2 linked regions of the Pelodiscus sinensis genome follow. The protein of the gene in region 2 purifies or fractionates together with the protein of the main gene of each other region. This does not show direct contact. Links are inferred from orthologs where the notes say so. Each region holds a gene or a part of one and is shown on either strand. Other genes may lie near its edges.

Evidence for each region.
Region 1: the proteins of CDC37 (region 2) and FER purify together in Homo sapiens (affinity purification with mass spectrometry; 3 studies listed by BioGRID and IntAct, with this or other methods). This does not show direct contact. The link is inferred for Pelodiscus sinensis from reciprocal best matches to the Homo sapiens genes CDC37 and FER.

The regions. Positions count from the first base shown.
Region 1 is NC_134716.1:63,688,315-63,692,059, reverse strand, and holds the start of FER (tyrosine-protein kinase Fer), read left to right. Parts: upstream 1-1,027; 5' UTR 1,028-1,151; intron 1,152-1,220; exon of another isoform or gene 1,221-2,046; intron 2,047-3,745. UniProt on the Homo sapiens protein: Tyrosine-protein kinase that acts downstream of cell surface receptors for growth factors and plays a role in the regulation of the actin cytoskeleton, microtubule assembly, lamellipodia formation, cell adhesion, cell migration and chemotaxis.
Region 2 is NW_027465991.1:191,934-195,678, forward strand, and holds the start of CDC37 (hsp90 co-chaperone Cdc37), read right to left. Parts: upstream 2,953-3,745; 5' UTR 2,895-2,952; coding exon 2,793-2,894; intron 1-2,792. UniProt on the Homo sapiens protein: Co-chaperone that binds to numerous kinases and promotes their interaction with the Hsp90 complex, resulting in stabilization and promotion of their activity. Inhibits HSP90AA1 ATPase activity.

The DNA of each region.
Region 1 (3,745 bases), on a different chromosome or scaffold from region 2:
GTGCAGGCTGCAGCAATTGCCAAGCCAATGAGTAGGCAGGATGGTTCAGACCTGGCTCTGGCTGGGTCTCAGGGGCTCATCCCACTGTGGCTCTGCACTAATAACTTCATTGCAAAGCTGCAGCTGGTGGTAGCTCCCAGGATCTGGCACCAGCTAGCACTGAACTTGGCTGCCTGCCTGCTGGCTCCCTAATGACTTCTCATGAAGAGCCACTGTGGGGGTAGCTCCAGGAACTTGGCAGGAACTGGGAGTGAGCCAGGCTGCTGGCCAACCCTTTGAAACATGTACTGGCACAGCTGAAGGAGGTGGTGTGGGGGGGAAGTACGTGTAGTCAGTAACATTGGTCAATAAGCTTTCACTTATTTGTTTATCGTTTAACCGACTGCGATTCCATCCCCTCCTATATACAACAGCTGTGTCAGTCTGCCACGTGCCACAGGACTACACGTTGCTTTGCAAGTTCCAGACTAACAGGGCTACTCCTCCCAGTCTTTTTAACCCTCTTGACACTTTTTCTGAACACACGGAAAAAGAACACCACGGGCAAGGCAAACACATGAAATCCCCCGACTCTTTGCAGCCCCAGCAGCGATCTCCGCCTTCCGGGGCAGGCCCGAGACACCTGGAGAGGCAGCTGCTCGCCTAAGGGCACCTAGACACTGCTCCTGCTGGGAAACACTTCCAGGGGGACACCCCACAAAGCAACTCGGTCCCACCAGCCATAACAGCATCCGCCCGCATTGCCCGGCCGGCGGGGGAGAGCCAAAGCCGGGCTCAAGCGCATAATCGCGCAGGGCGGGACTAGAACCCAGATCCCCACCGCGAACTAACCCCTAGGCCCGGCAGGGATGATCAGCGTTTACAGCAGGCAGCGCAAAAAAAAGGGAGCCACGCCCTCCCCACGTCTTCCAGTGCCCCGCCCATGAGTCTCCTCTGCCAATCGCCTGGCTTCATTTTAGGAGCAGAGGCGGGAACTGTAGATCATTCCGCTCTCCGGAATTGGTTGCTGGAACGAGAGTGTTACGCGGGGGCGGGGTCCATGTGGATTGGCTGTCGGGTGGCGAGAGTTCCGCGCTGATTGGTTGGCAACACTCACGGGACGCTGGCGGGGCTGTGACGTCACTTTGTGGTGGAGCGGCTCGGCTTGTCAGGTAGGTAGGTGCCGCGCGCGGCGCGGTGCAGCGGTCCCGTGGCCCGGCAGCGGGGCCCGGGCGGGCAGCGGGCCGGCGCGGGGACAGCAGAGGCGGCTTCTGTCCCCGCCGAGGCCGCGGCTGGGAGGCTGCTGCGGGGCAGGGCGGGGGGCGGCTAGGCCCAGCTCGCTGAGTTACTTGCAGCTGGGCAGGGCGGGGGCAGCCGGCTCCGCTGCCTCGTAGGGCGCCCGCCTGCCCCCGGTGTCGCTTGTCAGCCCGAGTCCAGCGAGCGACACCCCGCCCGGCTGCTCCCGGCTCCAGGCGCGCGGGGCGCCCCGCCCTCTCCGGCTTCATCAGTGTCGCCCCCACCCCTGAGCTGCGGCGGGAGGGTGCGGGCGTCGCTGCGCGCTGGCCGAGGGTGGGCTCCTGGCGTGCTTGGGGCTTTGCTCCAGCCCGCGCCTCGGCGCTTCCCTCCGCAGCTCCTCGCTGCCTCGCGATCCCCCCACGCACACCTAGATGTGGCGCTCCTGTGCCCTTTGCTGTCCTCTCGTTGTGTTCCTTCTGCTAGGTTGCTGCACCTCGGCCGGTCAGGCTGTGCCCTTTGTCACAAGGAGTAGGGGCTCTGTGGGTGTGCAGAGCCAGGCCCTAGCACAATGGGACTTCTTTTGTAATTAGTTTTCGGAATTGTTTTAATAAATGGTAGCAATAAGCATAAGATTCTGATAGGGCCAGGATAAGCATGAATGGGCTCCAGAAAGTGCTTTGCAAGGGAAAAGCTGGACCCTACTTATTTTTTTTATCTTGGGCTCCAAACTGCTACTATCAAAATAGAGCACAAATTTAGCTGCTCCTAACCATAAACTTCAGAGGACCACTTAAAAATTGGTGGGATGCTGTTGGGTTTTGATGCCTCAAGGTACACATTTTTCACTTGTACACTTATTCTGTTGGAAAAAATAACTCTAACTATACAAACACTATGATGGGAGCTAATTTATCTACAACTAATCAGGAAAGAGATCTTGGAGTCATTTTGGATAGTTTTCTGAAAATGTCCACATAGTGTGCAGAGGCCAGTGTGCAGCGGCAGTCAAAAAAGCAAACGGGATGTTATGAATCATTAAAAAGGGATAGAGAATAAGACAGAGAATATCTTATTGCCTTGATATAAATCCATGGTACGCCCACATCTTGAGTACTGTGTATAGGTATGGCCTTCTCATCTCAAAAAAGATACACTGGCATTAAAACAGGTTCAGAGAAGGACAACTAAAATGATTAGGGGTTTGGAATGGTTCCCATATGAGGAGAGATGAAAGACACAAGGGGTATGTATACACTACAGCACTAATTCGAACTAACTTAATTTGAATTAGTTAATTTGAACTAAGCTAATTCGAACTACTGCATCTAGACCTTAAAACTAGTTCGAATTAGCATTTTGCCAATTCGAACTAGCATGTCCACATTGAGTGGACCCTGAACCAGGGTTAAGGATGGCCGGAAGCAGTGCCGGCAGGGCATCAGGTTAGGACTCAGGAATGTCTCAGGCTAGCCGAGGGCTGTGCTTAAAGGGACCCAACCCCCACCCTGGACAGACAGTTCTCAGGGGTTCCCCGCTTGCTTGTCTAACTCGATGAGGGACAGCAAAGCAGTCCTGGCTTGGAGTGCCCTGAGTACCCACGCTCGGCACATCACAGCACTCGGCCATCAGCCCAGCTGCACTTGCCGCAGGCTGCCATCCAGGGAGGAGGGTCAAGCGGGGGGCTGCAGGAGAGCTTCCACTCTGAGGAGCCTGCAGAGCCACCCCAGTCCTCTCCATCGGGGGCTTGTACCCCATTCCTCCCTCACCTCCTTCCACTTACCCCTCCCTAGCCCCCCTTCCTGATGTACAAAATAAAGGACACGTGTGTTCAAAAATAGAAACTCTCTTTATTGAACAGAACTCGGGGAGACTGGGAAAAGGAGGTGGGAGAGGGGAAGAGAGAGGGTGGGAGAGGGGAGGGCAACTAAAATGATCAGGGGTTTGGAACAGGTCCCATATGAAGAGAGGCTAAAGAAACTGGGACTTTTCAGCTTAGAAAAGAGGAGACTGAGGGGGGATATGATAGAGGTCTATAAAAGCATGAGTGGTGTGGAAAGGGTGCATAAAGAAAAGTTCTTCATTAGTTCCCATAATAGAAAGACTAGAGGACACCAAATGAAATGAATGGGTAGCAGGCTTCAAACTAATAAGCGAAAGTTCTTCACAAAGCAAATAGTAAACCTGTGGAACTCCTTACTGCAGGAGGCTGTGAAGGCTAGAACTATAACAGAATTTAAAGAGAAGTGAGATAAAGTCATGGAGGTTGGGTCCATGGAGTGCTATTAGCCAGGGGGTAGAAATGGTGTCCCTGGCCTCTGTTTGTGGAAGACTGGAGATGGATGGCATGAGACAAATGGCTTGGTCATTGTCTTCGGTCCATCTCCTCCAGGGTTCCTAGTGCTGGCCGCTGTCGGCAGACAGGCTACTGGGCTAGATGGACCTTTGCTCTGACCCAGTACGGCCATTCTAAGCTCAGGGCTCAGGGTCGGGGGTCTCACTGGACCACCTTGATTTTCATGCAAACCTGATC
Region 2 (3,745 bases):
GGCCAGAGCGACTGTGGGGAGAATGTTACTGGGAGACCGGGAGTGGATTTCTGCCAGATAGCTTCCTGGGGTCGCACCTGAGGGCAGCAAGCCCTGGGGTTTCCTCTAGGATTCACATTCCCGACTCCTGACTTTAGGTCAGTGCAGCCAGGCAGCAGCATCTCCTCAGGCAGCTCCCTCCCTGCTCTGCGCCCCAGCGTCTGTCTCTGTACTAAAGGGCTATAAATCCGCCCTTCACTGGAGAATCACAGAGCGTCCGATAACAAAAATCACAGCTATGTCAGGCTGCAAGGGAGCTTGCCAAGTCCAGGCCCTTGTGCTGAGGCAAGACCAAGTAACCCTACACTATCCCTGACAGGCACGTGGCCATCTGCTCATAACCCCTCCGACGGAGGCATCCACGTGCCCTTGGGGAGCCTAGTCCAGAGCTTAATGGCACTTTAATATGAGGAAAAAAAAAACTCGACTCCAGACAAACTCCCTGGCTGTAGATTAAGTCCCTTGCTGCTTGCCCTGCTTTCAGTGGGCACAGCGAACAGATCCACCGGCCCTTAACAGCTTGTACGACTATTATCAACCCCCCCCCCACCCCCAGTTGTCTTTTATCAAGACTAAACATGCACAGGGTTTGCAATCTCCCCTCAGAGGTCAGGTTTTCTGACCCTCCTCCTCTGAACTCTCGCCAACTTTCCTGAGGGGTCACACCCAGAAACGGACACAGGACTCCAACCGAGGCTTCCGCAGCGTCACGGAAAGCAGGACAGCTACATAAGTAAAGCTCCTGTTAACACACCCCAGCCCGATACCAGCCCTTTTGGCAACTGATCACATTGTTGGTTCATATTCAATTCGTCATCCGCTCTAATGCCCACATGCTCCCTCCATTACCCCCACCCAGCCAGCTGGTCTGTTTTGTGCTGGGCACTTCCCAGCTCCTGCCTAAATTCAGCACTTCGCACTTCTCCTTAGTCCACTTCCTCTGTTGAGTCTCTCTCCATTCTCTACGTGTCAAGGTTGTTTTGAATTCCAACGGCCATCCACAGTGCCGGCAACCCCTCTGGGCTGGATGCTATAAGGGCAGTCTATGCTCATTATCCAAGTCGTTAATGAAACTATGGAACAGGCTTGCCTCAGGACCCTGCTAGATAGTACCCCCAGTTTGACAGCAAACCACTGACTACTCTTTGAGGGCCACCGTCAACCAGTTATCTTGTGGTGATTTTATCTAGACTGCCTGTGTCAAACCCTGTACCGCTCCCCTCTGCCCTAAGCCAGCATCTGTCAACAAGGGAAATAGGTTATTTGGCAGGATCTATTGTCAACAAAACCACCGGCTCCTCCCTCTGACCCAGGCATCCTCTAGAGATACTGTTTTGTCATTTGCTCCAGAATATTTTTCAGGTACTGAAGTCCCCATATTGAAGTCCCCTATACGTACTATGCAGGATGCCTGCTTAAGGAGAAAAAACCCTCTGAGTACCTGCGAAGACAAGTTTCCAGGGGGATCGCCTCCCTTACTGAACACCCTCAACTCCTGTAGGAGTGTCTGCTCCCACACAGAAGATCTACCTGATACAGAAGCAGCAGCGTGGAGTGACCGGAGGCTCCTCGGGAGCAGGCCTGGAGCGCAGTATCCCCCCCCGGGGGACTATCAAATAGTCGAGTAACCAATAAGAATTCATGAGGTTAACTGACTATTCAATGAACTGATATTTCACATCGCTAGGCCTGATCTGACAGAACCGTGGCATGTCCCAGGGGTCTCAGGCCTAGAGGAGCCCCACCTGGGAGAGCCACTCACTAGGCTGGAGAGATCAGAGAACCGATTCATTGGCACCCAAGTCCATTTGCTATTGCTGCCCATTCCTGACTTGGAGGGAGGCTGCTCCTGGCTTGATGCCGCTCAGGGTCAGACCCAGCTTTCCCATGAGCCCTCTCCTCCAGCATCGTAGGGGTGAAAGTGGGACGCCTCCTCTGCCCCGCTGGAGGCAGGGCTGCGGGGAGAGGGCACCAACCCAGAGGGTATTGAGAAGGGACTCTAAGGAGAGACGATATGTCAGTGCTCCCCTCTCTCAACACGCCTCTGCAATCAGGTGAGGGACCCCGAGAGTTAGACGTCCTGGGGGCCCAGCCCCACTAGTGCAGGCTCCCCACGGGAAGAGCCCAAAGACAGTGGGTTGGGAGCCAGGGTGCCATTGGGATGGGAGGGGAGCCAGGCCTCAGTCGGAAGGGGGGGGCTGCCTCCAACGCAGTCCACCCAGGAGCAGAGCCTGCCCCGGGCTGGGGACTGCTGGGGCCGGCGCCTCCCGCTGGGGGCTCTACGAAAGGCCTGGGCTCGCTGAAGCCAAGGGACCCCCCGGGCAGCATCCTCTGGGCACCACGGGGGGGGGGCAGCACGTGGAGCCCGGGGCCCGCGGGCCTGTGCGAGCCCCCCCCCCCAAGCTCCTCCCCCCGCAGCCCCGGGGCCTCAAGCAGAGACTCGCACGAGCCAGTTTGCCCCCATCGCACCCTGGCTGGAGGGGCCTGGGGGGCTCCCCAGGGGCGGGGCCCGGTCGCCATGGGAACGGGGGGGCTCCCCAGGGGCGGGGCCCGGTCGCCATGGGAACGGGGGGGCTCCCCAGGGGCGGGGCCCGGTCGCCATGGGAACGGGGGGCTCCCCAGGGGCGGGGCCGGTCGCCATGGGAACGGGGGGGCTCCCCGGGGCGGGGCCGGTCGCCATGGGAACGGGGGGGCTCCCCAGGGGCGGGGCCGGTCGCCATGGGAACGGGGGGCTCCCCGGGGCGGGGCCGCACCTGGTGGCGCCAGCGGAAGAGGCTGGCCGTGTCGATGTTGGGGTGAGTCTCGTCCTCATCGTCCGACACCTCGATGTGGTCCCAGACGCTGTAATCCACCATGGCGCCACTTCTGGAACCCTCCAGCCTCCGCACGCCCACTTCCGCCCTCGCCCTGACTCACTTCCGGCGCCCGTCGGCGGGAAGGCTTCGTACGCGCAGCTGCGCGTGCGCGCCCACGCCCCGGATACGCATGCGCAGCAGCGGCTGGCGGCTCCACACGTTCAGCGGCAGGGGCACGGGGGCGCGAATTCTGGTCCAGAGGCCGTTTACTGCGCATGCGCTCCCCCTTCTGTGCTCCAAATGGCGCTTCTCTTAAAGGGCCACACACGGCCTGTGTCTTCAGGGGTCAGCGGGTTGCAGGCGCCCTACCTGCTGCGCGCGCACGCGGTGTGGGAGGGGCACGCCCAGGGTTACACGCCCCGTGGGCACCGGCCTGGCCCCCACGTGCCCCGCAGAGGCGGTACCGGGTACCCACAAAACAGCAGGGCCACGCACGGCTGGGGAGCTGCACCGTGCACCCGCTGGTGCCCCGCTCGTGCTGTTCTCACGCTCACTAGCTGGGGGCTGTTCGCACGTTTGTGGTCCCTGAAGGGGTTTGTGTTTTCAGGGCTCTCCCCACAACCCAGCGCGAGTCGGCTGAGAGTCCCCGTGTTCCGATCACTGGGGGCTGCAGACGGGGCCAGACTCCCCAGCAAATCCTGAGAAAGGGAACACGCCTCGCCCCAGCGCGTGCCGTCTGCACAGCGTCCGCTCTGTGCACCACGAGTGGGTGCCCTGCTAATCGGCTGGATGGCATTGGAATCTCTTCTGGGTGGCCACCCAAGCGCTCAGCTAACTGGGAACACTGGTCCGGAGCAGGACGTAAAAAAATGGTATAGCTCAGTATACAGCTTACACTGCACAGCCCACAG